Tamandua tetradactyla: one gene and its partners. The protein of the gene in region 4 interacts with the protein of the main gene of each other region in a pairwise test. Links are inferred from orthologs where the notes say so. Each region holds a gene or a part of one and is shown on either strand. Other genes may lie near its edges.

What was found.
Region 1: the proteins of EXOC5 (region 4) and DEUP1 interact in binary tests that used the Homo sapiens proteins (3 or more experiments, as listed by UniProt). The two-hybrid records come from large-scale screens. The link is inferred for Tamandua tetradactyla from reciprocal best matches to the Homo sapiens genes EXOC5 and DEUP1.
Region 2: the proteins of EXOC5 (region 4) and TNPO2 interact in binary tests that used the Homo sapiens proteins (3 or more experiments, as listed by UniProt). The two-hybrid records come from large-scale screens. The link is inferred for Tamandua tetradactyla from reciprocal best matches to the Homo sapiens genes EXOC5 and TNPO2.
Region 3: the proteins of EXOC5 (region 4) and RAB4B interact in binary tests that used the Homo sapiens proteins (3 or more experiments, as listed by UniProt). The two-hybrid records come from large-scale screens. The link is inferred for Tamandua tetradactyla from reciprocal best matches to the Homo sapiens genes EXOC5 and RAB4B.

Annotation. Positions count from the first base shown.
Region 1 is NC_135334.1:49,843,342-49,850,331, reverse strand, and holds the start of DEUP1 (deuterosome assembly protein 1), read left to right. Parts: upstream 1-3,982; 5' UTR 3,983-4,169; intron 4,170-4,663; exon of another isoform or gene 4,664-4,760; intron 4,761-5,814; exon of another isoform or gene 5,815-5,856; 5' UTR 5,857-5,882; coding exon 5,883-5,929; exon of another isoform or gene 5,930-6,464; intron 6,465-6,990. UniProt on the Homo sapiens protein: Key structural component of the deuterosome, a structure that promotes de novo centriole amplification in multiciliated cells.
Region 2 is NC_135337.1:89,880,396-89,888,244, reverse strand, and holds the start of TNPO2 (transportin-2), read right to left. Parts: upstream 3,019-7,849; 5' UTR 2,745-3,018; intron 1,257-2,744; 5' UTR 1,244-1,256; coding exon 1,145-1,243; intron 452-1,144; coding exon 376-451; intron 297-375; coding exon 147-296; intron 1-146. Other genes in the region: TRIR (telomerase RNA component interacting RNase), read right to left, coding at 7,267-7,374, 7,641-7,718. UniProt on the Homo sapiens protein: Probably functions in nuclear protein import as nuclear transport receptor. Serves as receptor for nuclear localization signals (NLS) in cargo substrates.
Region 3 is NC_135342.1:23,355,262-23,362,813, forward strand, and holds the start of RAB4B (ras-related protein Rab-4B), read right to left. Parts: upstream 3,011-7,552; 5' UTR 2,577-3,010; coding exon 2,561-2,576; intron 1,299-2,560; coding exon 1,218-1,298; intron 982-1,217; coding exon 867-981; intron 1-866. Other genes in the region: MIA (melanoma-derived growth regulatory protein), read right to left, coding at 3,536-3,559, 3,897-4,007, 4,504-4,637, 4,723-4,879. UniProt on the Homo sapiens protein: The small GTPases Rab are key regulators of intracellular membrane trafficking, from the formation of transport vesicles to their fusion with membranes.
Region 4 is NC_135338.1:8,508,721-8,516,411, reverse strand, and holds the start of EXOC5 (exocyst complex component 5), read right to left. Parts: upstream 3,018-7,691; 5' UTR 3,003-3,017; coding exon 2,919-3,002; intron 1-2,918. UniProt on the Homo sapiens protein: Component of the exocyst complex involved in the docking of exocytic vesicles with fusion sites on the plasma membrane.

The DNA of each region.
Region 1 (6,990 bases), on a different chromosome or scaffold from region 4:
ATGAAATTTTTCTTTTTTCTTTTTATTTATTTTCCTGGAATGATGCAAATGTTCTAAAAATGATCCTGGTGATGAATACACAACTATGTGATCATATTGTCAGCCCTTGATTGTATACCATGTATGGACTGTATATGTATGAATATTTCTCAATAAAAAATATTTTAAAAAAAGAATGTCAACTAAGACACACAAAAAGAAGTCACTGGTTAGCCATAGAGAAAAAATAAAAGAATGCTATGATGTAGTATTAGTGTTATGACAAACCAAAACCAAATCAGACCAAAGTTATGAAAGGGCTGAAATCGAGTACATAGAAGAGTAGAAGAAGGTATTTGGTTTTAAAAAATAGAGTCAGAGAGAAGCTGACTTGTATCAAGTCTCCATGGCATCCAGGACAGGGAGAATATAGCCTGGTCCCACAGCTGCTTTGATCCCTGGCATTTCCCACTTACAGTTCACATCCATATCAATCATTCATTCTTTCTAGCAAATTCTTATAGAGTATGACCACTCTAGACACTGTGCTAAGTCCTGGGAAATACAACAGCAAAAAGATCAGTCTTATCCCATATGGAGCTTATAGTCTACCAGGGAAGAGAGATTATTAAATGAACGTTTTTACAAACTAATTCATTACAAAAGTGTAACAAATGCTACAAAAGGAGAAGTTCAGGACACTGTAAGGGAGTTTGGTAGGTGTGCCCACCCTAATCTAAGGGGTAAGGAAAAGACTAATCTAAAGAAGTAGTATTCTTAGAGTAAATTCTCTCTTGCTTGAGGACATGGATCTCTCTATTCAAGCAGCCAGGGGGTCTTAATGAGAAAAGCTGACAGTTTCCTACAGTCAAAAACGACAATCAAAACCAACTTAAATCATTTTGAGAGCATGATACAGAGATACAGGTAGAGTGCTATAGAGGTACCTGGCATGGGCTCCAGCCCAGAGAAGGAGACCCTCCCCCCCCGAGGGTCTTTCGTTTAGGGATTGCTACTGCTAGGAAATAAGCTATTTTATCCATAAAACTTTAACTCAGAACTGTACAAAATCCCCCTCTCCCTTGATTTTCCTTAGCTAGCCAAGAGAGGATGAGATTTCAAAAACCACAGTGCTAAAACACTAAGCATTAGTAAGAAGGAACTTACAGGGAGAAAAAAAAAATCATGAAAGATGTTTTCTAAAGAATATAGTTTTGTTTTCTGATCTCAAAATGAGAACTGATGCTCCTAATACCCATCAGGAGGACGCGCACCCCTTGGCACCTGGATCCCTGATCAGCCAAGTTTAAGAGAGAGGGCCCTCCCAACCTGGTCTAGATTCTCTTTAGAGAAGCAGCCGTACCAGGAAGGTTTGGCAGGACGGTGACCAGGCATGACGCAGTGAAAGGTGTCACCCTGATTGGTCGGAAAGGCCCCATTTATGTTGAATTCCTAACCCAACCAGAGCCAATTCATCAAGATTTTGCAGCAAGAGTCTTTCATGGTACCTCTCAAATTACAATCAAACAATTCAGTCTCTGTCTTATTGCATGACCTTTCACGCTTAACAAAGGGCTTCAGCACATTGACCAGATACCCATATTCTAAGGTAGCACTATCCGATAGGGTGACCACCAATCACACGTGGCTACTGAGTACTTGAAATATGGCTTGTATGAACTGATTGTGTTGTAAGTGTGAACTACATATCAGGTTTTGAAAACTTAATACAAAAAGGTGAAATGTCTCATTTTTACTATTTCGTATGGATAATATGTCAAAATGTTATCTTAGATATAATAATAAAATATATTATTAATGATAGTTTCACCTGTTTCTTTTTACTCATTTTAATGTGGTTACTAGAATATTTAAAATCACAAGTGGCTCATATTATATTTCTATTGAACAGCACTGCTCTAGAATGACCTTGATTCTAAGCACTAAATCTCCTCTTTCCGAATTATTTTCTCAACTAGAATAAGTATTGAAGCGTCTACAAAAAATTCCTTAAACCTTCTTCCATTTATAGAAGTGGCTCAGTATTATCAGAAAAACATCCTGTGTTTCAGCCTAGTAACTAAAAACATGACTATCAGATAATTTTACCTCTTTAGGTCTGAGTTTCTTTACAGAAAATGAAGAGTTTGAACTGGTTCCCCTCTATGGTTTCTTCCAATTCTATGATTATTTGATTATTATGATGTTAAAATTTTTCTAAAATATTTCTATAAATAGGATTTTACTTAGCTTTTATTATAATGCATATAAATGTTTGAACCAACTTTTGAAAATAATATAAAATAAATATTTGCTTTTTTGATGCAAAGACAGAATTTCATTTTAATCATTCTATACTATTTCCAGTGGATACATGTTAGTTTATTTAAACATGCATATGTTAAAGTAGCATGCTTGTTTTCTATATTGCTATTATAAAATTTTCCACAACACTATTTTTGTTAATAAAGGTTTTTCAGTTTTCAAGATTCGATTCATTCAATTCATTATGATTATTATTTATTTGGTCCCTTAGATTTTCTTCCACAGATCATCCTGTTTCCATCAATCATTTATGCCTCCTATACTCTCTTTTGAGTATTTCTGGTTATATTTTATATCTTATCACACTGTTGTATCCTTTAATTCTCTTTCAGGACTGGGCTCCCTTGCATCATTCACCAGCTCCTTTTAGGTACCTGTTCATCCTGATCACACTCTTTCCCTCCTGTAGATTCAGGGCCTTCCCCCTGTGCTCATCCCTTTTCAAAACAGCTCACCTGAAAGGATCTATTAACAGGAATATATCAGGGTGAATTCAAATCATCGCAAACACTCCTTACTGGAGAAGGGGCAGGTCTTTGCATTTTTAGCCTTAATGCTCATCTTGAAATGAAAGTCTTAATCTTATTTGAATTGAACGGAAAACTCCTATTCTTTTTTTTCCATTTTCCTAAAATCTATCAGAGTATGTGTCCTCTCACATACTTATGTCTTACAAGCCCAGACATAGGCATTCTTTCTTGTGAAATTATGGCTTTAAATACCTCTTCAGGTACCTATGCAAAATCCTGACTGCTATACTTAGGGCTTTTAGGCAGAATTTGAAGAGCTCTGGATTTGGAGTAAGATGCCCTACACTCATATCTTAGCTGTACTTGAATTAGATGTATCATCTTGGAGATCTCGAACCTGGAGTTGCTATTAATAATCGTTGCTACACTCAGCTTCACAAACAAGAATTTCTGAGCATCTAAAGAAATACTGAATGTGAAAGTACTTACCAATGGTAAAGAGCTATACAAGCTTGAGTTACCTTGGGTATCCTGGAACTTACTTACATTTTTTTCCAAGTTCTTTTTCCCTTTCTAAAGTCAGGAAACCTACATCAAAGCATTCAGTGTAAAGAGGAAGGACCAACATGGCCAAGGCTTTCAGAATAATGGAAAATTTCAAGTTATGATGAAATGATCACTCTCTTCATTCAATAATATGAATAGCTCTATGAAACACCTATTATAACTAATAACCTGTGTTACTTTATACAATTCATCTAAGAGACTCAATTTGTCAAGAAATAGCAAATGGTTTCATGAAATTTAAATGGAACCTGGATGGAGGGATGAGTCTATATTAAGTTGATAGCCATATTAAAGTAGCAAATTAATGTTAATGTTATGAAGAGGAGTACAAATAAAAGATTTTAAGAATTAGAAGCTAATCAACTCGATGTATTAGGAAGGAATTCTGTTCCTAAAATAGATGCAAGAATATTTTCAAACACAAAATTCAAGTGCTTAAAAATAATTCCCTCAAGAAAGCAATATAATTTATAAAAATATGACCTATAATATATAATAAACATATAGCCCTTCCCGACATTCTGTGAAATCAGGGCGGTAGGACAGGGCTGCTGTCATCAATTATTCCTGGAATTTGGTGGAGAAAAGAAAAGAATTTGGAATCAGCCACCCCGGGTTCCGTTCTAGTTCCCTCACTTGAGAATTATTTCTTCATACCTAAAAGGAAGACAATACTATCGGCTCTGCCTAAATTACAGACCCAGTTGTATGGGAAAGACAGGCACAAATGCTGCTGTTAGGGCGACAGAAGTGGCGGTGGACTGAGCTGTGCATTTAAAGAAATCCAGCCCTTCCCAGCTGGAAGACACTGGCGAATAGAAAGGAAAAGTACCCAGTTTATTTTTCATCCTGTTTCAAACTTGGGGAGAAGAGGCTGGGAACCGGGGGGGTGGTGAAGTCACCTGAATATGGAACCCCCAGCCATTTACCCTTTGTTCCTTCATTATTTCATTCCTTCAGTCATTCGACAAACCTTTATGGGGCCTGTGTTGGGCGTCGGGTAGCGGGCTAGGCACTGGAGCCACAGGCAGGAAGGGACCCAGCCTGTATCGGGGAGCCCTCTGACTAGTGAGCAGGCACCACACGCCTAACTGCGGGACAGCCAGGCCGCGCTCGCTTGGGGTGAAGAGGCTGCTGGCCGGGCCGTCCCGCCGCCACCTCCAGCGAGTCAGCCGGCGCCGCAGCGCCCCGCCGCCCCTGCCCTCTACCGCGGCGGCGGCGAGTTCGGCCCGCGTCCCCATGACAACCAGGAGGCGCGGCAGGCGGAGCGGGAGAGGCCGCGCGGCTGGCGGGCCGGGGCGGCGGGAGCGCGCGGCGGGCGCAGGGCCCCTCGGGCGGGCGGGAGGGCTCCCCGCGTTCCTGCTCCCGGGGCCTCAGACCTCCCGGGCAGGCGCGGCCGGCGCGGCGCGGCACAGACAGGTAACAGGGCCCCGGGCCTCCCCTGCCCACCTCACCCCGGTCCCTCTCGCGTCGGCCGGGCTGGCACCCGCAATCCTAGAGGCAGGGGTTACCCCAGGAGGCTGGGGGAGACTGTGCACGCGGCGGGTGGGAAAGAGCCCGGGATGCAAGGACTTTGAAGTGTAGGTTCTAATTGTGTGGCCTTAGGCAAGTCACTTAATTTGTGCCTCCGTTTCCCTGACGTGAAAGTGAGGGATTTGAGAACTGACGAAACTGTTTATTCATCCGTTCTTGCTGCTCAAGTTTTCATTCACCGCCCCTGCTTTTCGCCCCTCCTCTTCACCCACAACTGTAGGATCTCCCTTAAATTCCTCTGATTTGGGTGGCATGAATCCCGGGATCTTCCTCCTCCTCTTTCTACAACCATAAATGCGCTTTCATTGACTTTTATTCAGTAATTCGGAGTTGAATTCTTTTTCAATACTTTGTCCATTTATCTTCATATACTAATTATAAAATAAAACTGTTGCTGGGGGAAATACTATCTTGTGTTAGGCAAGTACATAAGCTCATTTTGTCAAGAGAGTGAGCCAGTGCCCATAGAACCATTAAGGAACTGTAAGATTTGTATTTTTAGAAAGTTCTTCAGGCTTCTGTCCTTAACTCTTGGTATGTTTATGTTAACAGACCCCAGAAATGGCCAGAGAAAGAATTTACTCAAATAAAGGCATGCCATTTAGGGGATTCACAGGAAAGGAAAGTTTGAGAAAATCTAGCTGGAATTCCTTTGAGTAAGAATTCCAGTTTACTCATCCCCATGTACTGAGCACTCTGCAAAGCACCTGGTATCTAGCTGTTGTCCAACAAATAGGGAACGAATGCCAATTTCAGTCAGTACCACATATTTCAACTCATCACTAAGCCTATGTCATAAATACAAAGGAGCACTCCTCCCTCCCCCCCCAAATAAGCCCGTTTCTTCATTTTGTAGAACCAAGAGTTACTACTATCTCAGAGAAACTAACATTAAATAGTTTGCTAAAAGCAAAATTTTTATGTTTTATACATTCATAATTGTAAGCATTTTAGGAATCTAGATCATTTTTCTCTCCAGCAGATTAAAAATTAAGAACCATAAACCAGATGCAACAGCTTCTTGACATGGAGAACAAGGCTCCTAATACTACGGGGTAAGTGCTGCAAATCTGTTTAATAAGTTGGTATTTTACTTTGTCAAAAATCATGGACTATGCATGAGTTTTGAAATTTCATATTAATAGAAAGATGTGCCAATTATTTTTGGTGAAGAGGGTGGGGGGAATTTCAAGAGACTGTAATTAAGAATCTATGGCATGAATCTTTTTTTGCATGGGTAGGCACCAGGAATCAAACTCAGGTCTCTGGCATGGCAGTCGAGAACTCTGCCTGGTGAGCCACAGTGGCCTGCCCAGCATGAGTCTTTTGAATTTTGACTCTGTATATTGTACACCAGAGGTGTCCAAAGACGATCGCCATTTTCCAACTTTCAGTGACTTTGTCCAGTGGCTTCATGGGATAGATGCACACACCCAGGGGAACCAACCTTGCAGCCTTTGTGCAGTCTTGGATTCTCACACTGCAACAGCTCATGGCCAGCTTATTCCTTTCTTGCATTCTCGCTTCCTCCATTCTTGCCCTTCAGGCTGAACTCAGCACTTCACCACAAGTTCCAGAATAAATACAACTCTACGAAACAGCAATAAGAGCTGGGTATTTTATCAAAAGTTTCATGGGGAGGTAAGGAATAGAGTTTGCAATTTGTATAGCATTCTATATCCTAGAAATTCAATCAAAATCCTTTTCAGAAATATCTATCCCCATCCTCTTCCTGCCACCAGCACTACAAAGGTTCCTCTTCCTGCTGTTTCACTGGCAGGATTACCATAGTTCCTACTCTTGACTGTGACTGACCTGGTTGTGGTCAAACCACTCCAGGTGTCTCACCGTCAGTTTTTCTACTCAAACCATGGCCTTGACATCAGGAAGAAGTAAAACTAAAAAAGTCCGGATAAAAATAGCTATCGCTTTTTTAACTCCTACTTCATAATCCTCCATACAACAGCCCTGCTAAATATTATTCTCATTTTACAACTAAGAAAACTGAGTATATTAATTAGTATATAGTCTAAAGTCTTGTAACAAAGAGACCTGAAAATAATACAATGGCTTAATAAGAATGAAGTTTGTTTCTGACTCATATAATAATCCAGAG
Region 2 (7,849 bases), on a different chromosome or scaffold from region 4:
ACCACCGAGGATGCTGGGGGCATTTGGTGACGTGATACGTTAAACAGCCTTAGAAGCTTCTTGGCAGGGAATGAGAGCTCAGCGTTCATTCTCGTGCTCTCCTTCAGAGGCCAACCGCATTGCCCCCGGCCCTGATGTCCCCTCACCGATGGTGGCTCGGATGAGCGAGGAGGCATCGCCAATGTTGTTGAGACACTCTTGTTTGATGAAGTCTGCCACGGGCGGCGGGAAGCTCTGGTAATGTGCCTTCACGTTGTTCTTAAGGATAAGGCCACTGAGAGAGCGGGTCGGTTCATCTGTGGGGAGAGGGCTGAGGCTTAGGGGACCACCGGGACAAAGTGGGGGGCAGCTGCAGGGAGGTCACAGAATGCGTACCTTCTGACTTTAGTCTGGTCAGGACGAAGATCAGGTAGTTGTTGAAGTCAGGAAACTGGTTGAGTTGTTTGAGTTTCTGCCAGGCTGTTAAGGGATGTGGGAGACGGGGCCACCCCAGGCAGGGTGCCTCACTGTCACCCTCGTATAGATGACAGCACCTCTAGGACCCCACTCTGGTCCCAGAATAAGACAGAACATCTCAGCGGGGAGAGGGGGTTTTGGGGAGGGAGCACATGCCTGAGCTTCCTAGCCTGACTTTTTGAAAAAAAGAGTACAAATTTTCAAGTGAAACCTGCTTATATTTTAAACGTTGACAACTAATTGGAGAAAAAACATTTAACCATAAAGCCTAAATAAAATATGATTGCCAGCTGGAGGTTCCCCCACCAACTTACCCACCCATTTCCCCCCTAAGCTCTGACTTGTCAGTTAAAAGCTTGCACTCAGGCATCACACAGGTCTGGCCTTGCCAGCTGGGCTCCACTAATTACTGACTGGGGCAACTCATACTGCCTAAGCCTCAATTTCCTCAGCTGTAAAATGGGGAGAATAACAGTACCTCCTTGAATCTAGTGCTTCAGGAACATTAGGTGTCTCTAATATTTTCCATAGCAATCCCTCCAGCTCTGGGAAGGGGATCCGGGATTCTAATCACTTATTCAAGGTTGGGGCCTCACCACAGCAGTCTCAGGATTCGACCCTGGCCCCTCCCACCTTTGGGGGCTGCTGGTGCAGGGTTTCCCGAGCGCCCGGAAGGAAAGAAGGATACATCCTGTACAATGCGCTGCGTGGCTGTATTGGGTGACTGTGAGTCTTTGAGCAGCTGCAGGACCTGCTGCAGACCCTGCTCGTCAGGCTGCCAGTCCATGATGCAAGGCGGGCTGTGGGGATGGGGCCGGGGTCAACGCTGGGTCCCAGGGACTCCATCTCAGACTTGGGCTGAGCCCGGGGGGTGGCGGCAGCAGGACAAACGCACCCTCCGTGGACAGGCGGGGGCCGCTGATCCACACCCGCCCGAGCGCAGGTTCCCTGCCAGCTGCGCCATCCTTGGCCGCGCAATTATGGGCTCGGAAGTGCTGGCTGGGGTATGTGGAAGCAGGCCACGGGTGGTGGAGGGGCCGGCGGACCTTCCTCCCGCAAAGCATGGAGAAACCCTTGTCCCACAGTGCCCAATGCCGCCGCCTCTAGCTACGGACACTAAGGCTTCCGCCTCCCTTGCAGTCACTGCATGAGGGCTCTGGCACCTCCAAGTCCAGGAATCTCTCTCCAGACCGCGATAGCTCCCAGTCCCCATGGTCTCCCCAAGACAGGAAGAGTCCGCGAAGATTTCCCTCTTCCTCCTCCTTCCAAAATCTGGCCCTCAAACTCCACCAGATCCCAGCCACCCCTGAGCAGACCGGCCCCTGGTCCTTTCCCAGGCGCACAGTCCCAAGGCAATCCGATCCTCCCGCTCCCTGCCACCTCCCTTAACCTAGCCTTCCAAGCTCAGCCAAATACCAGATGACCCCCAAATCAGGCCCGAAGCATGGGTCACCGAGGCTGCTCCCGATGAGAGCCAGCCAAGCTCGTCTACCCGGCGACACAAGCCCCTGGGACGGGTCCCTGTCGCCTTTCCCAATCAGATCCTGCCAAGCCTCCCCTTGCCCTCCCTCCTCCTCCTCCAAGTCAGCAGTAACTCGCAGTGACCCACCTCCGCTGCTTCCCCCAATCAAGTTCGCCCAAGCCCCTCCACCATATCTAGCCAAAAACCCCCTTCTGTCCGATCCCTGCAGCTTCCCTCCTTGTCCCCCCCACCCCCACCCCGCCCAGTAAGGCCTGGCCGAACATGTCCTGAAGCATCCCCCGCCCCCAATGGACTCCAGAGAAGCCCCGCTGGGGGACCCAGCAAAGCCCTAAAGGCCGAAATCAGCCGCCCCTCCCCATCAGGACCCAACAAGCCCCCACCCCACAGCTTTTCCATGCGGCCTCCCCAATCAGACCCAGCCATGCCACACCGAAACAGTCCCCCCCGCCACACACACACACCCGATCCTAGCGACGTGTCCCAATCAGGCCCTAAGCAGACCCCAGTCGCTTCCCCCAATCAGATCCCCTCCAGGTCGACGCAGCAGCCCCACTGGCCCGATTCTCGCGGCACCCTGACCCGGCCCGGTTCCGAGGCCCCACCCCCCTCAGCCCGGCTCGACTACCCCCTCCCCCGCCCCGGCCCGTTCTCGCTGCCTCGCGGATCCGGCCCAACCAGGTCCCGGCCTTCCCGGGTCGGGCGCGGCCCCGATACTCGGGCCGCGCGCGGCGCAGGCCCGGAGCCCTGTGGGGGTCGGCGCAGGCCCGGGCTGAGCCCAGTCGGGCTCCGGGTGAGGCCCACTTACCGGGCCCCGGGCGGCGGCGGCGCCTCGCGCTGAGGCTTCTCCTGAGACTCGCGCGGAAGAAGGGAGCCAAAGAGAGAATAAGGAAAAGAAAAAAAAAGAGAGAACGCGGGCGCGAGTGAGCAGCTGCGGCTTCCGTACGCCGTTCAAACTGGCCCAACAGAACCAATCGTAAGGCGCTGCTGTCACACGTGGCCTGACACCGAGAGAGGCCCGGGCCCCGCCACGGCTAGGTCACGTGAGGAAAGAGTTGGCGCCTCTCTGGCCGGAGGGTCCTCCCGAGTCTCGTTTCCTCAGCCTCTCCCCCACCCCCGTCACCGGCCTGACTGCAGCTCTTTACTGAAAGACAGGAGTTTGGTGGCGCGTGGGACGTTCGGTGTGAGGCAGTCTCGTGAACCGCTCGGCCAGATCCCTTGGCCAGATGTGCCCTGGTCACCCTCCCCTCTAAGAATGTGAACCGTACCTCCCTCTCCCATCCAGAGGGCACTTGAAAGGACTAAGCCTGGGGTGGACTTTGTACCCCAGAGACAAAGGAAAGAAAGCAAGACAAAAGGATTGCCTGTATTTACCGAAGACTCTGCCACTTTTTGCGTTATTTTCCTGGACTGTTTGGCAGTTTTACGAGAACATGAAAAAGCCACAGAGACAAGCTTTTAAATAAATTTAAAGACCCAATAAAATAAACCCCGGAGCGGATGGGCCTAATCTATCCCCTACAATGGGTTAGATGGAGCCCACGAAACTGAGGCTAGGGCAGGATAGTGAACAGTCTGGGAAGAGTAAGGCATTTTTTGTCTCTCTAAAGCGTCCGGCTTTCCCCTTTCGCCTTGCCACTCGGAGGGTGGGTGACCTCCTGCCACTCGAAGCCTCAGTTTCCCCACTTGTGAAACGGAACTAATTAGAGTTTGCTCAGAGATAATCCAAGTTAAGCATTACCAAGCCTACTGTTGTAAATTGTTCTTAGAAAACGTGATCAAGGCCTTCCTTTCAAAGGATTCAGCCCCCTCCCTAAATATTGACTGGAATCACTCAGGGCTCTAATCTGAAAGGCAATCCCGCCCTGCCTGTTCTGAGGGATTCTGGGGACCTCCTGAGAGGAGATGGAGGAGGGCAGCCCCCTTCCCGTTGGCAAAGTCAGCCCTGGCTCCGTTCACTCAAGAAAAACACACATAAGACCTCTCTGGACCGAGCCCTGGGACCTCAGACTCGGAAAGGGTCACCTGGCATCTAACTCCAACCCGAGACTCGCGAAGTCTCACTAAAGGAGAAAGAGGGATTCCCCTCGTAGTCCAACCAGCTGCACAGAAACTGGCTGTGAGAGACACGTGCGGAAAGCCGCCGTTTACGCACGCGCAAAGTTCCTCCCCTTGGCCTGGAACTACAAATCCCGTCATGCCTCGCGCCCAGACCGCGGAGCTTCGGAGTTTTGGCTGTGACCCAAACGTGGGCGGGCTGGGTGTGGAGCGCAAGGCTGCGATTGGGGGCTGGGGCTATGTTTGGGGGTTCCTGGACGCGGGGTGACCAATAGGAGCTCTCTGGTCAGAGTTGAGGAGGTGGCCCAGGTAGGGAGATGAGGGAGAGAAGTTGTTTAGACTCAGCACCACCCTCTTTGTAGGTCAAGTTGCCTGCTCCCTTGCTCAAGCTTTGGGGGCGAGCAGGAGTCGGGGCAGAACAGTGGCCCCTGCTGCCCACGTGGTTCACATTTCTGGCGCTCGCGTGGTCACGGAAGTCTTCTTTCGTCCTCTCCCCCGGAGATGCATTTGAGTGCTGAATCGGGACAAGTCGTTTTCCTATCTTAGACACCTAGCGCGCGCGTCAGGCAGTTTTATGCAATTCTCAGGACGGCCATGTGCCCGGCAAACATTTGGATTCAACTAGAAGCGATTAATGCAAAGAGAAACTCAAGGAGGTGGTGCGGGACCGTGAATCTGAGATGAGAGACAAACGCGCTCTCAGTTTACAAGGGCCTCTCTGTGCGCCTTGAAAGGGCAGCATTTTTCAAACAGAGCCCTAAACGAGCCAGCTGCTTCACCTAACGAAGCAAAGAGCCGTTTTAAGCTGTGTCAAAGTTCAAGTTGACGGTGTGAATATTGCCCTTACTTTAGAATTTGACTCTAGAGATGAGTCTGTATTTTTACCCCTATTTAGTGGAAGAATCTGAAATGCAAGATGGCACAACAAGCATCAGAATAGAGTTTGAAACCAGCCCTGTTTGATTCACAGAAACCTGAATTTGATCCTCCTGCCTTTCAGACTTTTTCCCAGGTCATTGCTGGTGGGTCCAGGGAAGGGAGGTGCCTGAACTTCACTAGTTCCTCCTGCCACCTAACACTTAAGAATAGAGGCTGAGCCTCTGCAGGGGCGACCTACTTCTCCCGCTTGTATTCCTCTGAGTTTCTTTTTAAAGATTCAGCAATGCTGGTGGCTTTGAATGAGGAAGAGGTGGGGTGTTCCCTTGGCATCATTGTCTCTCCACACACACATTCTGTCCCCAAGGCCAAAGTCACACCTGGGCCAGCCCAGCACCCCCAAATTAGGAGGAAGAGATTTTTTAGTTGATATGGAAAAACCAACCACATAAGCATTATTGTGCATTAGCGTGAAGGGAGAGGGAGCAGGTAGCCTGGTCCAAAGCCTGCTGGCCATTGCTTTGACAAGCCAGGTGTAGTTTCACCTTGAGGTCTTTGCACCTTCTGTTCCTTTTGTCTGCACACTCTTCTATACATGTTCTCTCAACTGTCCCACCTCTTTTGAACTGGGAACAAACTTCACCTCAGGGAAGCCATCCCTGATCAACTTAAGATTGCCATCTCTCACACCCTCATCTTGGCCCCCTTTTTATGTTTTTTTCTTAATGTACGACCATCCCATGTGCTCTGCATTTCATTTATTGTGTTTCTTCTGTTTCCCCTAACTAGAATGTCAGCTCCATGAGGACAGAGGCTTTTTGTCTGTTTTGGTGACTGCTTCATCTCCAAATACAGTAGATACTCAATATTTAAGTGAATTTTCTCTCTCTCTCTCTCTCTCTCACACACACACACACGCTCCTCCTGACATGATCTCACCATCTTTATGCCAGGAGGGAACCACCCTCAGCCCTCTCTGAGGACCAGAGCTATCTGCCCTTCCATTCTCTGCCTCCATGGGCCAGTGAGGAACAGTCCTCTCTCACTTGACAGTAGAAACCCAGTACAGGGGTGGGAAGGAGTGTCAAGGCTGCTCAGTGTTCCTGCCTGGTGGTCCCCTGGCCAAGGGCCCAGATGTCACTCCAGGATTTGTGGATTTGAGATGGGGCCGGAGAGTAAAGGTTTCAGTGGGAGCATGTTTAGGCATTTGTGGGCTTGGTGGAGGTAAAGATTCAGGATGGGCAGGTGGGGCCAGAGAAATGCAAGGAACACCAGAGGGTACTAGGGAAGTCAAAGTTCCTTTAAGATATCCCATCCCTTGACATGTCATATTCTGCAAAGTGGGACAAACGTGTCCCTTTGTCCTAATTCTCTTGAGCATATATACCTCTGGGCTGAGCAGACCACAGGCTCCCTAGGAGGAGGTCCAAGGAGTTGGGAGGACTGAGGGCCCTTTTCCTGTATTTTGCAGTGTGGAACAGCTTCTCTGGATTCAGGATCCCAGACCTCCTTCCCTGCTCCTCTGCCAACACTCCAGCTTCAGGCACTGTAGCCTCCTGTGTCCTGTTCCAAGTCCCCCCCATACCCCTTCAGTGAGCCTCACTCCCTGTGCTGGTCACACTGGCCTCCTCAAAGACCCCCATAAGGGCAAGTCCTCTCTCACCTCAGTCTTTGCCCGGCTGTCCCTCTACCTGAGCAGTTGCCACTCAAATGCTCTCCCCTTTGTGGAGGCAAGGAGCGCGCCCTGTTCTGCTCACTGCAGTGGCCCAGGGTTTGGAACAGGGCTGCGCATAACAGGCGCTCAATGAGCGTCTGCTGAGAACACTTTAACAGCTTGGCTCAGTCAAAATGGAAGTGGAAAGAAACGGAAGCTAAATAGCTACAGTGAGGGGACGGTCAGGGGTGGGGAGAAGGGGGTTAATAAACCCTGCGAAGTATCCAAGTCGGCAAGAAGGATTCTGTCCCTGAGCATCCAGTCCCCTCAAATGGCCAGACCAGGCTTTGGTGGGTGTGCTTGCTGGTGGGGGGAAGGTGTACATTAGAGAGCAAAGAAAGCCGACCACGCATACGACTCCAGCACTAAATCAAGTTCTTTACTTCCCAGAAGTGATGACTAAGGGGAAGGAAAGGAGGGTGGGAGAAGAGGAAGACAGAGAGAGCCAGAGAGAGTGGGGCAGCGGGAAGAGGGTGGACAGTAAACCACTGTTCTATGAAGTCTCAGGAGGCAAGTGCTCAAGGTAAAAAAGAGTCCTGGAGAATCGTCCGCGGCTGCAGGAAAACATCTCGGTGTCCTTCTGTGTATAAGTCCTCGGGGGGAAGGCTGCTGCCGCTGCTGCCACATTAAATAGTATGTACATCGCAAAGAGTCCAAGGCCATGGGCAGGTGGGGGGAGGGGTCATTTCACCAGGGGCCGAGTCTTATCGTCGTCACCACACTGGTGGGCTTTGTACTTTTTCACCTCTGCCATGTACTTGGCCCACGCGTCACCTTTACTTGTTAATACCTGGGACGGAGGAGGAAGAGGAGCAAAGGGGTGGGGGGGTGGGATGTCAGGGAGGCTCTGATCTGAGGTCAAGACTATCCAGAGGCAGCTACCCACCCCGAGTGCTGCCCTTCCAGAAGGGCCTAGGTGTGAGGGAAAAGACAGGCAGGGTCAAGATATCTGGGGATTCTGTGTAAGGCCCTTCTTCCCCACCAGCACCACTCTGGGAGGGACTGGGCTCAGGAGAAAGACAGGGTAGGCGCCCCCGCACACCAACACCTGCTCACCTCGTCTTCCGTCTTCTGCTTCTTGGCTACTATTCCCGTCTTGAGGGCTAGTTTGTTCCCGCCTCTGCGCTTGCCCACCTGGGTGAAGGGACAGAAGACTGCAACGGTTACGGGAGCCGGGGCCCGCCCGTGGCGGTGCTGAGGCCCACTACACCTTCCTAGCCTGGCCTGGCGGCCCGTCCTGACGCCGCGCCCAGCTCCGCCAGCCG
Region 3 (7,552 bases), on a different chromosome or scaffold from region 4:
TTGGGGAGGCCCTCTTCCCAGTGTGGGTCCCTGTGAAACTCATGGAATCATTCCACAAACATTTATTGGGCACCCAGCCCAAGTTCTACCCCCATCACTTCTCCCTGTCTCTGAACTCTGGATGTCATAGATTTAATCAACATCTGGATATTTTACTTAGCCATTACTAAATGCTACCCAAAGACTACACTTCCCCATGGTTTGGACTCCCTCTATTTCTCTCTCCCTGCTCTCTGCTCTGGCCCAGACTCTATCTCAGTACTTCTGTTTGTCTCTACTCTTCTGCAGACATTTCCTTCAGACCTACTCTGTGCCCAGCCTTATGCATTTCTCTCTCCCTCAACACATCCATCTCTCCACTTCTCTGGCTACACCTATTCAACTCTCCCTGTCTCTGTCTATGGAACTCGGTTTCTCTTTGCCTCTCCTTATTTCTCTTATCTTTCTCATCTCTTTCAGCCAGTCTTTCTTTCTCTCTCCCTTTGCATGTATATCTGTCTTTCCCTCTCTCTGTTTTAGTTTCCCTCTCAACCTCTCCCATCCCCAAGCTTCCCTTTCTCTTTGGGACACTTCTCCTCTGGGCACATGTCTGCAAAGTGCCTCTCATGATCTGTCTCTCTACCAGGCTCTCTCACTCTTTGTGCTTCTTTCACTCTCTCTTTTCTCTCACTCTCTTTGTCTTTCCCTTTCCAGGAGTCCTTCTCTCCTTGACCAAAGGTATCTGCTAATCATGGTCTCCTCCTTCTCACTCTCTGTCTTGTCTGCCATCTCAGTGTCTCCTTGTTCCTACTGCTGAGTCTCTGAGTGACTCCGAACATTCTCTCTTCTCTCTCCTTGGGAGGCCAACCCACCCAGAGCCCACCTACCGAAACCGCTCCTGGCCAGCCGTATCCCAAATCTGTAGCTTCACTGTCTTCCCGCCCACGTTGACTACCCGGGATCCAAACTCCACGCCGATCGTGTGGTTGGAGTCCTGTTTGACTAGGAGTCAAAAGGAAAGAGGGGACAGTGCAGGGGCTGCAAGGATCCCCAACCTTCCAAGGCTTCCTCAGCCTCCTCAAACTTATCTTTCTTACTGGGGGGAGTGAGGTTCAAGGAGGACCTAGCAAAGAACACATATCAAGGAAAGGACCAGGATTTGCCCCCAGCTACCGACCTGCCCACACCATGCCCATGCCCATAGCTTGGTGCTCCCAGGGCCACTACTAGAAACTTACACTTATTCTCAATGAACTGATGAAGGAGACATGATTTGCCAGTTCCTGCACTGCCGATCACCAGGAATTTGAAGAGGAAGTCTGGGCAAATGGAGCCAGAGATGGGGATGACCACAGGGAGAAAAGAGTAAAGAGAAAAACACAGAAACCAAGAGATGGACACAGTTTTAGGGAGAGAAACACATACAGGGGAAACCACAGCAAAAGACAACAATAGTAACAGATGACATTGTGCTTATGATGCATCTGGCACTGTTCTACAGTTCTTTATTTATATCAACAGCTCACTTAATGCTCCAGAAAACTCTATAAGGGAGGTATACTATATTATCCTTATTTTCCAGATGAGGAAACTGAAACCAGAGGTTAAGTGACTTGCTCAATGTAGCACAGCTGGGAAGTAGCAGAGTTGAAATTCAAACCCAGGCCAACTGGCTCCATAGGCCAAGATCTTAACTATTACAGTGTTGAAGCCTCTTGGAAGGCCATTTTATCAAGAACTACAAAGCTCTATCAGATCTGGCCCTGTCCTTCTCAAATTCATCTCCTACATCTCTGACTCACTCACTCCACCTTAGCCTTCACTCTGTTTCCTGAAAATTACTAGTTTTTTTACTAGTTTAATGAGTCTGGTCTCATTAAACTAGTAAAATTACTGCACTCTGTTTCCTGAAAAGGTGCTAGTTACCACCTCGGGGGCTTTGCACTTGACACTGCCTTTTTCTATTTGTTGAATGAATGCAGCCCCCTCTGATTTTTAAACCAGGACTCTTTACTGCAACTTCCCCACACACTCACTTCTCTTACTGTACATATATCCTGATTTTTCCAATTCCAGAATTCCTTCTTGTGCTCTTCTACTCAAGCTTAAACCCCACCCCTAACTCAGGGACAACCCATCCCTATTTCCACTCCAGACCTCTCAAGCCAAATCAGCCCCAGGATCCAGAACATCCCTCAGGCTCCCCTCAATCTTCCCTCCATCTCATTAAGCCCTTCTCCTGCCATTCACACAGTCCCGCCGATCCCTTCCACTCAAGCCCCGCCCCGATATATTAAGGCCCACCCCTTCCCTCAAGGCCTATCCTGAATCCACCAAGACCTTCTCCCTCAAATCCCGCCCCACATCTATTTAACCCATACACCAGCCCCTCAGGCTCCGCCCAAATCGGTTAAACTTAGACCCAGACTCATTAAACCCCTCCCCGTATCCACTAAGCCCAGCCCCATAACACCAAACCCCGCCCCCTGGTATATCAAGCCCCGCCCCATTTCCACAGGCCGCATCCTCTGAGGGTCCAGACCCCAGACCCCAGACCCCAGCTAAGGCCAACCACCCTCACCGTAGGTCTCGGCCATGACTCGGTCACGGCCGCTTAGGGTCGCAATATGGCGCCGCGGCCGCGCCTGCTCCTCGCTGGCAGCCGCTCCACTCCGGCTGCAGCCCCGGCTCCTTCCTACTCCCCGGGCCGGTGCCGCCACTTCCGCCTCCACTCCCCTCCGGCGCGACCCACTAGGGCTGCGGGATACCGGGCCACGCTTCCCGAAGGGAGGGATTGGTGGACTCGGCAGGCAGGGGGCGGGACAAAAGATGCGGATTGGTGGTGTGAGAGGGCCTTAGAAGAAAAGGGCGGGACCAACACGAGCGATTGGCGGAGCAAGAGAGAGGATCGGCGCAGGGATGCTTCACGGAGCAGAGGAACGGATTTGGTCAGGAGTCTTGGGAGAATCGAGATTCCGGATTGGGTAAGGGAGGACTTGGGGGCGGGGATGCGAATGCAAAGAAGGGGGCAGGGACAGGATTGACAGGGTCTGGAAAAGGAACTGATCTTCCGCTAGCGGGTACAATTTCTGACCTCAAATGCGTAAAGGATGAAAAGTAAGGAGATTGGCGCAGATTACCGCCCACCTCTCTTTGCGGATAACCTTCCTTCCAAGAAAACCTCTGCGATTTATGCCCTCCTCATGGTCTAATTGGCTCATTCCCAATAGTTCAGCTCCCTCCCATTGGTCTAGAGAGGACACTACATTCTCCCAGTTGGGCCGTTTAGATCATTCTTCTTATTTACTGGTGGCCGACGTCTAACTTTAGGAACCCGCCGCAGGTACTCAGTTCAGAGCAAAGAGCGTGTCATCAAAGAAAATCTGCCTAGCAACCACTGACATTGCCTCATTCAGTGGGTTGATTGGCCAGATTCAGAAACCTTTCCTTTTTCCATCCCCATCCCACCCCAAAGACCACAGAAATCAGCAATTTGCACTTTGATGTATTCGCATAAAACAGGAGAGGCAAGACAGCAGACGGCGGTAGGCTGAGCTCACTGGCAGTAGAAATCCCATTTCTGAAAAAGAAGAAAGGGGAAACACGCACAGAAAAAACCGAGAGGTCGCACCACAAAGGATCTAGTGGTTTCAGCCAAGCTGTAAACATAAAGGAGCAGATTTGGCCCCGCAAGGGTCATTCATATCAGCCCAGAACCCTTTCATCTTTGTACCTCCCAAATGGAACGGGGCTTAGAATCACTTAGAATTTTATTGGTGAGAAAATGGGTGCAAGGAAAGAGTTTGTCCCAGCATTAGGCCATGGGAGAGCTAAGGATAAAAGTATCTTTGCCAAGCCATCCCAACCCAAGGGTCCTCCCACCTGTTCTCCTCCTCCACGCCCCTCAGGACACTCACATCTGTCTTCACATCGATTTTGCCAGGTTTTAGGGTCTGGTCCTCTCGTACAATGCTACTGGGGAAATAGCCCAGGCGGGCAGCCAGGTCTCCATAGTAATCTCCCTGAACCTGGGGAACAGTAGTTAAAAGCTGGGTCTGGGAAGATGACTCACTCCTTCCGCTGAAGGCCGTTGGACTCTGTCTCCTCACCCTGGTCTCCACGTGGCTGGCTCCATCCTAGTCATTCAAATCTCTCAGCTTAAATGTCACCTGCTCAGAGGCCTTCCCTGACCACCTGATATAAAGTGGTCACCCAGTCACTATATTAATTCTCAAAGTAGCACATACTTGCTGATATTTTTGTTGACTCACTTGTTGTCTCTACCCACTAGAATAAAAGGGATCATTCACTATTGTATTTTCAATGTCTAGAACATAACCTAGCACCAGAGTAAGTGCCCCATAATTGCTAAACAAAGTAAAAACAAAGTAGGTCCTGATATCCACCCCCCCAAATTTTTCATCTATTTCCGTTCCCTCCCTTAAATTTTCCCTTTAGGTGGAAAATTGGGGTCCACCGCATCCCAGCCCCCTACCCCTCGCTTTTTGGGGAGACAAGACTCACACTGCCTCCCCAGAAGAGCCTCCCTCGGTCCTTCAGCTTAGAGAAGACATACACCACTTGGCCCCTGTGTATGGTTAGGAAACGGCAGTCGGGGGCCACGTAGTCCTGAAGGGCCACAGCCACGGAGATGGGGTCTAGAGAAGGAAAAGAAGGGACTGACAGGACCCACACACACCAGCTGGCATCCCAGGCTCCCAAGTGCCCCATCCTCATACTTACGGCTGCATTCCTCATCAGCACACAGCTTTCGGTCAGCTAGCTTTGGCATCGGGCGGCCTGCGACACTTGGCCCTGGGAAGGCAAACAGCAAGACAATGACACTGAGGAACACTGAAGACAAAGCCATCGTGGACTGAGCAAGAGACCTGGGGGGCATGGGGTCTCCAATTTCTCCCACGTTCCCTCTCTCCAGCAGCACAAGGAAACCAGTGTTCTCTGTCTTGTCCCCGCCCTAAACCGGTCCCAAATTTTGCCCACACCAGCTAGAAGCTGCTACCCAGCCAGAACCATTTCAAGGACAGGGTGAGACGTGCCAGCCCATGAAATACCAGACAGGCTCAAAGCAGCCCAGACCACTCCAAGTGGCAACCACCCCCTCACGAATCAGGGAAGTCCAGGCAGGCAAGTTGAGATATTCAATTCCATCTTCTCTTGGGCCTGCTTAGGTACCTGAGCCCCTCTGCTTTCCCCTCCAGGGACAGAACCAGAGGAGCCAGCAGAGAAAACCACCTTGGAATTTCCTGTGCTGAGGGGCGAGAACAGGCAGCCCTTTGATTGCCAGTCACAGCCTCAGCTCTCAAGTACTGAGAGAATACTGTTCATTGGCTGTAGGCTAGTCAGTGTCCTCCCATGATTGCTGTTAATCTACCAGTTAATAGCTAATAGTTACTGAGCAATCACCATGTATATATTTTTAAAAGTGTTTTAATTTATTGGCTCAAATTTATGCTCTCACTTTGGGACTTTTATAACCCCATCTTAAAAGGAAATGAAAGCACAGAGGGATTAAGAAAGTTGTTTGAGGTTACAGAGCTAGGAAGGGGAAGGACTAGGTTTGTCTCCAGGCCCATACCATTCACTATGCCACCCTACCTCATAGGACTCTTATGAGGATTAAATACCCAATTCAGAGGGAACACAGAGGACAAAGGAATATCCAACATCACAAGGATGCAATCAGCAAAATCTAGACTATAAGACAACCTGGTTTCTTCAACTAATAAACTGAAGGGAAAAAATTTAGAGATATTGAAGGCTGGCCTTTATTAAAAACAACTGAATGGACATGTTTACCTGTCACGAAGTGTGAACCTTATTTGGATCCTGACTCAAAGTGTATACAATCTTGGGTATTAAAATACTGGAATTTTGAACAGATTAGATATTTAATGATGTTAAAAATTGGTTCTTTTTAGGTATGATCATGGTATCGTGATTATATCTTTATTTCTTAGGCATATACCTAAATTATTTACTGATACTAAAATATAGGATGTCTGGGATTTGTTTCAAAATAGTCCACAAAGGAGAGAAAGTGGGAAGGGGCTTGGATGAAACATAATATGGATGAAACATAACAGGTAAAGCTGGTAGAGGGAATATGGGAATTTAGTAGGTTATTTTGTCTTCTTTTGTGTGTTTAAATTTTAACATTAAAAAAAAATTATTCCTTGATTCAATATTTATTGAGTACATCATATGCTGGGCCCTGATCTAGGCACTGAAGATTCATCAAGGAATGAAAACCAAGGCAAACAATTATATCATAAGACAACAAGGATGTAGATGAGATTGTTTATGAATTATTAAGAGGGGTACTTAGAAATGAGAACATGGTATTAATCAGCCATGGAGATCACAGTCCCCATATTACTGATGAAGAAACTAAGAGGGGGAAGAAATTACTTCATTTGCCAAAACCCAATATATTTGTTATCTATTGCTGCAAAACTAGTTACACTGTTTAAACTTAGTAGTTTAAAGCAACTAGGCTTTATTAACAGTGTTTCTACGGGTCAGGAATCTAGGCATGGCTTAGTTGAGCCTCTAGCACAAGGTCTCCCACGAGGCTGCAGTTTCATCTGAAGGATAAACTGGAGGAGGATCTGCACTCGAGTGGCTATATATAGGCAGGATTCAGTTCCTGTAGAAACTGGACCAAGACTCTGCTTTTCAATGGCCATCCACTTAAGGCTCTTCCTCAGTTCCCTGCCACATGCATCTCTCCAGTTAGCTCACAATATGGCAGCTGGCTTTCCTCAGAGAAAGCAAGATGGAGGCCAATTTTTGGAATCTAATCTCAAAAGCAACATTCCATCATTTCTGCTGTATTCATTTGAAGCAACTTGCAAGTGCTGGGAACATTGGGTATCATCTTGGAAGCTGCCTACAACACCCAAACTTCGTATCATTACCCATGAAGCCTCTATGCATTGGCCATGCTGACCTCCCCAGTCCACTTTATCTTACTCCAGCCACGAGGGCCATTTGGGTAGTATGATTCTACTTAACAAACCATGAATGGCACCCCCAGAGTTATGGAAAACAGTGCTCAACAAGTTTCACTTCTTTCTAGTACTCAACACTTCAACTCACTTCTACCTCAGGGCCTTTGCACCTCCCCCAGATCTTCACATGGCGGATTGCTTTGTATAACTTGATGTTCAGCTCAAACGTCACTTTCTCAGCTTGGTTCTTTACAGATCACCCTCTGCAAAACTGCCTCCTTGATTGGAATTTCCATACAGCTGAAGAAACTGAGGCTCAGAAGAGTATAGTCACTTGCCCAAGGTTAGAATGATAAAGTGGCAGGATTCAAACTCACTTCTCAGCTCCAAGCCGTGCTTCAGATCCAAGCTGAGGATCATTCTCCACAGCACCTGTCTCTTCCAGGAATTCCCACCTCTGAGCTGAGGCTTCATTAGTAGTGAAGGCTGAGTCTAAACCATCACTACACACCCAGTACCAAGTAGAAAACAGAAAACAACCCTACTCCAACATCCCCTCCTCAGAGGGGCTTTCCTTGATGGCCCATTACTGTCCCTTCGTA
Region 4 (7,691 bases):
CTCCAGGGATCCCCTCAGCTGCAGAAAACCACCTTACCCAATGTCATACCTTTCCCAGAGTGACTCATAGCTAATGACTGATTAAGAAGGATGACTCTAACAGGCCATTTTAGCTCCAAATCTCCCTATAGCATTCAACCTTTAGGGTCAGCATTGTAGTTCTACTTCTCCTTTTGCCCAGTGTTGCTTCCTTACCCTGCAACTTCACAGATGTGGCTCTCAAGGGTATTTTCAATAAACATTCTACACACTAAACTCTGCTTCAGAATTTGCTTCCCAGAATATCCAAACTATGACTCTGTAGTAATCCAGTCAAGAAACGTTAGTGCCTCACACAAAGGTGGCAGTGGACGGAGTGCTGAGAAATAATCAGATTCATGGTATTTTGAAGGATGTACTAATAGGAATTGCTGATGGACTGGATATAGGGAGAAAAAAGAAAAAACTGAGTTATGGACTTGTAAAGACCTGAGGCCAGAACAGAGGTTTGAGGCCTGAAAGGTGGTGGGGAAGACTGAGAAAGGAGATGGATGAGAAACTGGGGAAACAATAGCTATGCTCTGAATATTATATTGGAGATGTCTATTAGATACAAAATGAAAAGACAGAGACTATAGTTGGAAAAACAAGTTTGTGCTATCAGGAAGAAACTGGAGCTAGATATAATTTTAGAGTCATCAACATATAGGTAGGTGGTTATTTAAAACCTCAGGTCTAAATGAAATCATCTAGGAGGGAAAAGGACACGACAGCATTTGGACAAGAAAAGGAAAAAGGATCCAAAAAAGAGACAAAGTAGAAGCGACCAGTGAGAGAAGAGGAGAATTAGAAAACAAGTGTCTGAGGTTTTATCTTCAGAGTCAATAACACTATCTATTACGAGGTTTTAAAGATAAACGTCTTACTGCTCCTAATGGGATGGAGATTAAAAAAAAAACTTTCTGCTTATAAAAACTAATAAACGCAATACCTTGCTCTCTAATAACTAAGGCTGTTTCAAAGACATTTACAATTATAAAAAAAAATTAATACATCCTAAAACCTTTAACTGACCAAGGCCTCCAAAAAGGTCTCTCAAAGATATCTGTAAACATCTGCCCAAAAAAATTTCTGAATTTTGCAAGTGACAAAGGTAAATGTTCATCTTATTTTAATACAGTAATTAAACACAAAAATTAACAAAACAAAAACAAAAATTGAAGAACTATGCCCTGTAGACTAATATAAAATGATATTAAATTCAATACTGGTAACTGTGTTGCTGTTAAACTGGTATCATTATTTATAAATGCTACCAATTGTAAGATGAAACATGGTGTGTCTGTGATCATTTCCATAAAAAATAATGACACCAAACCTTTGGACAAGAACCTAAAGCCCTAATTTAACAGTTTCTTGAAAAAGAATCCAACTAAATTTTTTATTTTCTTATAGCACCTTTTTCTAGAATAGATCTAATAAAATGTGTAAGAACCACACACAAATTCAAAGAAACCAGTACATTCATCTTCATCCTGACTTTAAAAAAAAGTATTTCAGAGAGGTATTTCTATATCCTATTAAACCAACTAACCCAAGGGTTCAAGTTCTACCTGTAACGTGTATTCCTTAATTTTAGTGCACTGCAAAACAAATCTTTAAAAATCTTTAGACAGACATTTCCTTTTGTGATTCCTATACTCTCAAGTTCACACTCCTCTGCCTACCCTTTAAGGTCCTTATCTTGCTCTACCTGCTCAAATTTCTCTAAACCCCAGAATGAACACCATATTCCTATCATCATATTTCATTCTTCTCTTCAAATCCACGCTACTACTGCTTCCTGTGGACAGGTAACCCACCCCTTTCTCCCCTCACAATTCAAACACCACTATACCATTATTCAAAGCCTGGCTCAATTTCCATTTCTTCCTTGAAGGTAGTTTCTTCTCCACATTATCTCCACTTATTTCTCCACTCTTACATCCCTTTGAGTTGTAAAAAGTCATATCCCTACACAGAGCAAACTATTACCAGTTGTCATTTGTTTTATAACCATTTTTGTAAGGTTTGCTTTTCTCTTCACACTTAAATTGAAAGCAAGGGCAGGATCTGTCTCACGCCTCTCTTGCTTTTCACCTGTGGTGAACAGAGCACTGATGAGCACACAGCAGATGTACAATAAAGCAAATTACTGGCGAGTGGGGCCAGGGCCAAATCCTCTACAGAGCATCTTGAAAATCAGCCAAGATCCATGTATAAAAATCAAGACAAAAAGGGTCACCACCCCCACCCTCCCAAAAAAAGAACAGACATAACATGGTGCTATAAATCCAAGACTGTAATATAAACCAACTATGAGCTGAGGCAAATTGTGACGCTGGAACTAAATGAATTTTACCATGTTTGATTTTTTTTCTAATTCCACCTGATCTGCTTTTTCTGGAAATCTTTGCGGTTTTACTTGAATAAATAAATGAATTATGTTTATTGAATATTTTTTTAGAGTACTATAAAAAATGCTTTGCCTCAAGCTAGGCAAAATAGGATTCAAAGGTAGAATGGAAATGTACAGGATAACGTTCAAGAAGGGAACATGAACTTTGCCTCTCTTTGGGAAGTGTCAACATCACATTGTGGTATGGAAGATCTTGCTGTAGCCATTTTGGAAAATATAATCTTCCCTTTTTGTAATTCTCCCCTAGTGTAATCTTCTAGCTCTGATCATTTCTTCCCAGTCTTCTTTGTAGTGAATCACCAACCATCTACTTTCTAAAATTCAAAAATATGGAATAAATTCAACTCCTCAGTCATCAAATTCTTTCAGTTCTACCTCCAATATATCACTTAAATTCCCTCTCTTCTCTATCCCCATTGAATCAAGTCAAGATTTCCTCTGCCTAGAGTAATCAATCAAGAGACAATTCTAGAACACCTACCAAATAGCAAGAAGTATGCCAAACTACCCAAGTCCTTTTATTTCCCCAGTTAACAATCTCTCTCCACTTAAGGTCATTCTTCATACTATCAGGAAAATTATCTGGAGAAAAGAAAAGAAAAAAGTCATGTCAGCCCCCTTAAGAATGGCCTATATGGCCTTCTGAAACTTTCCAACAAACTACCGCTATGGTTTCAATGTCTTGTTATGAACCATCACTCCCTATTCCCAAAACAAGTATATACACATTCTACCTCTTTTCCATATTTCCTGAACACACCTCACGTTACAAACTGGAACCTCTTACATGCTACATCTTCTATCTCTGCCTTGGAATGCCCTTCTACTTGGAATTTTTCTACTCATTCATCAAGATACAATTTATATGTCATTACTCTGTTACCATGGAACTAATTATCCCAGGAAGCACTTCTGTATTCCCATTGCACTATATTATCTGTTAACATGTCTGTTGCCTCCAATTAGATTTTTATCTTAAACCATCTTTAAACTCCATCAACTGGAATGATGCCTGGCAGAGGGTGGGTCAAGCACTCAATACATTTACTGAATGAATACATTTTTTTTCATAAATGATAATATAGTAGTAGTCAGCTTCCACAAATGTTTATTTAACAACTGTTATGGCTAAAACAGACTGCTTTTCAGCACTCTGAAGTTGAAGAGATGGTCCTTACTTGTATTATCTCAAGTTCCTTAAAATATACTTGGCTTTATAACTGAACAGGAGGGACTTCTTTTTACCCAAATCTGTTTAAATAGCTTTTGTAACTTGGTTTGAAAATCTAAGGGACATATTAATGTGTTTCTGTGGGAAAATGTGTTCTTGACTATTCAAATTCTAATTTGGAAGTCATAAAGCTGCTACCACTATATGCGAATTACCTAACTTTGTTACTTTCCTGCTCAGACACTTTAATCCTATGTTTACAGAAGGAAAAATCCAATTCCTAATTCTGGTATTTCCAGGCCTCCACAATCAGATCTCAATTTAACTTACATGGCACTACTCCTCTTCATACATGCTTTACCCCACTCAAAATGAACTCTTCTTTTGTTTCCAGGACACACAATTACCTTTCTTTATGTTTTGGCTTTTCTTGTCTATTTTACTGAATAGCCTCTCTACCCTGTTCCAAAAATTCAAATCAAAGCTATCCCTTTGGATCATTCAAACACCATCTTCTAATCCTTTCCCTCTTCTAGAGGCAGTCTTTCCATCCTCTCAACTCTTTATCAAGAATTCTTTGATACCACTTATAACTTTATTTAGAGTACATGAACATACGAAAAGACAACCTCTGGAATAGAAGAAAATAATTTCAAATCATATATCAGATAAAAGTTTAATATACAAAACATATAAAGAACTTTGTTGTTTACAACGCAACACAAAAAGACAAACAACCCAATTAAAAACTGGGCACAAAAATGAGAGCAGGGAACTCCAGGACTCACTACTTCCTTAAAACAGCTACTGTCTAAAACAACTGTTCTGGGGCTTTGGAGGCCAGAGGAGCACTGTTCAGCATCCAGGGAAGAGCGGGAGAAAGGGGCTGAGAAAATGTGGTAAAAGAACCATGCGTAGCTCATTCCACGGCAGCTGACAACACCCGTCAAAGGCGACCATATGAGGTCCGGTCCCTGTTTGGCTGTTGTAGACAGAGAGGGATGTGGAAGTCCTTGTCCCAAAGAATAGTGTATGTGTGTTGGGGAGGTGGGGGAGGGTACATGGCCAAACTCTGATCACAACTGTTGCTTGGAAAATTTGTATTACTGGGTTTTGGCTCAGAACTGCTGTTTTAGCCCACTATGGACAAGGATGGCAATGGTCATTGTTTCAATTCTGCCATCGTCATGGGCATAAGTGGTGGAGGTTTAAAGACCCAGTACTAAGGGTGGTGCAACGGTGGCTCAGTGGCAAAATTCTCACCTGCTATTCCAGAGACCTGGGTTCGATTCCCAGAGCCTGCCCATGTCCAAAAAAAAGATACAGTATTTATATAGGGCTGCGGGGAACAGTTTGCTGAATGGTGCCATCTGCTGGGCAGACCAGGAAAGTGCAACTTACGGGACTTGTCAAAAAAGCTTTTGGTGTCCTCCCTAACCATGCCCACAGAGTTCTCTGGACCAGGTCTGCACTTCCTTCGTGGGGCTGGGGCCCCGTTTTGGCTCAGAAAACTAACTTGGGAAAGTCCCCTTTCTTGTGACCCTCCTCCCCAGAATGTACCCTCCAGGCAAATGCAACAAGAGGCAGCAAAAGCAGTGTAAAAAACACACCATAGAGGCTAAACAAAAACTAAAGGAGAAGATCAAGAACGCCACAGAAGAAACAGGATTCCCAGGAAAAGAAGCTTTCTCCTTTCTTTTCTGGAGGTGAAACAATTGCACACATAGTGCAATCTTAAAAACTGTACTGCAAATTCAGGGCAAGAATCAAATGAAGAAGAGTTGAAATAATATGATCAGTTGAACATGGGCAATTCTAAAGGTCTAGAATAAGTTGAACTAAGTGTGAAAGAAGAGCTTTAACAAAAAGAACAATCAACAATAAAATCCTAGGCAAGAGTGTGAAACTGATCTTTGGAGTAAAGTCATTAAGATAATCAGTAGCCCAGACATTACCAATAAGTTACAAGCCTTACCAAGAAACAGAAAGATACGGCCCAATCAAAGGAACAAATTAAAACTTTGGAGGAGACACAGAATTTGGAACAACTAATCAAAGATGCTCAAACAAATCTAAATCAACTAAAGAAGGTTAAGGAAATTATAGTAAAAGAGATCAAGGATATTAAGACACTAGATGAGCATAGAGAAGAATCTGAAAGTACAAAAAGGACCAAAATAGAAATTATGTGAATGAAAGGCATCATAGAAGAAATCAGAAATATACTAGTGGCACACAAAAGCAGATATGAATAATAAGAAAGAATCAGTGAACTGGTAGGCAGAACAACCAAAACTATACAGACAGAAGAACAAATAATGAAAATCATAAAAACAAGTAGGATCTCAAGGATTTGAATGACAGCACAAAGTGCACAAACACATGTGTCATAGGCATCCAAGAAGGAGAAGAGCAGAGAAAAGAGGCAGAAAGAATATTTGAGGAAATAATCACCAACTCTTATGAAAGACATAAATATACATATCCAAGAAGCGTAATGTACACCAAACAAAATAATCCTAATAGACTTATTCTGGGACACACTAATCAGAATGCCAAATATCAAAGATCCTGAAAGAAGCAAGAAAAAAAATGATCCACCACATATAAGGGAACCAAATAAGACTAAGTTTTGATTTCTCATCAGAAACCATGTAGAAAAGAAGGCAGTGGAATGATACATTTAAAATATAAAAAGAGGAAAAACTACCAGCCAAGAATTCTTTATCTGGTAAAACTGTCCTTCAAAAATGAGGGCAAGTGTAAAATATTCAGATACACAGAACTGAGAGAATATCATCAATGAGAGACCTTCCCTACAGGAAATTAAAGGAGTTCTGCAGGGTGAAAAGAAAAGACAGGGGTGAGATGTGTGGAGGAGAGCGTATAAATGAAAATTATCAGTAAGGATAACTAGAAGGTTGAAAAAAAGAGACAAAAATAAGATACAACATATGAAAACCAAAAGATAAAATGCTGGAAGTATACTACCTTTACAGTAATAGAATTAAATGACAACAGATTAAACTCCCCAATCAACAGAGATTGGCAACAGGGATAAAAAATTATGACCAACTAAATGCTGCCTACAAGAGACACAACTTAGATCCAAAGACTCATAGGTTGAGAGTGAAAGGTTGGAAAAGTTAGCCAGACAAAGACTAACCAAAAAAGACCTGGGGTAGCTATACTAATATCAGACTAATAATGTGAAAATGTTAAAAGAGACAACACTACATATTAATGAAAAAGGCAATTCACCAAGAAGAAATAAAAATCATTAATATTTATGCACGGAGCCATGGTTCTCCAAAGTACAGACAAAAGCTGGCAAAGTGAAGGGAGAAATAGACATCTCACGATAAAAGTTGTAGAACTGAGCACACAGCTCTCACCCATACATAGAATATCTAGTCAGATAATCAGTAAGGAGATTGAGAACTTGAATAACGTGATACATGAACTAGACCAAACATATATAGAACACTGCAATCCCAAACAGCAGGATATACATTCTTCTCAAGTACTCATGGATCATTCTTCAGGAGAGACCATATGCTGGATCACAAAATTTTAAAAGACCAAAATTACACAAAGCATCTCCCCTTGCCCACAATGGCGTAAAGCTAGAAATCAATAACAGGTAGAGAACTGGAAAATCACAAATACATGGAAGGTAAACAACACACTCTTAAACAATCAGTGTGTCAAAGAGTACACTACAAGAAATATCAGTAAATATCTCGAAGTGAATGAAAATGAGAACACAACATATCAAAACTTATGGAATGCACTGAAAGTAGGCCTCAGAGGGAAATTTTTGCCTTAAATGCCTACATTAAAAAGTGAGCTAAACTGCACGTGAGGTATAGGTTTTTTTTTCTCTCTATTATCGTTTCAATTCTTATTCGGTTGTCTTTTTATTTCTTTTTCTAAATCGATGCAAATGTACTAAGAAATGATGAATATGCAACTATGTGATGATATTAAGAATTACTGATTGTACATGTAGAATGGAATGATTTCTAAATGTTTTGTTAATTTTTTTTAATAAAAAAAAAGTGAGCTAAAGTAAAAAACCTA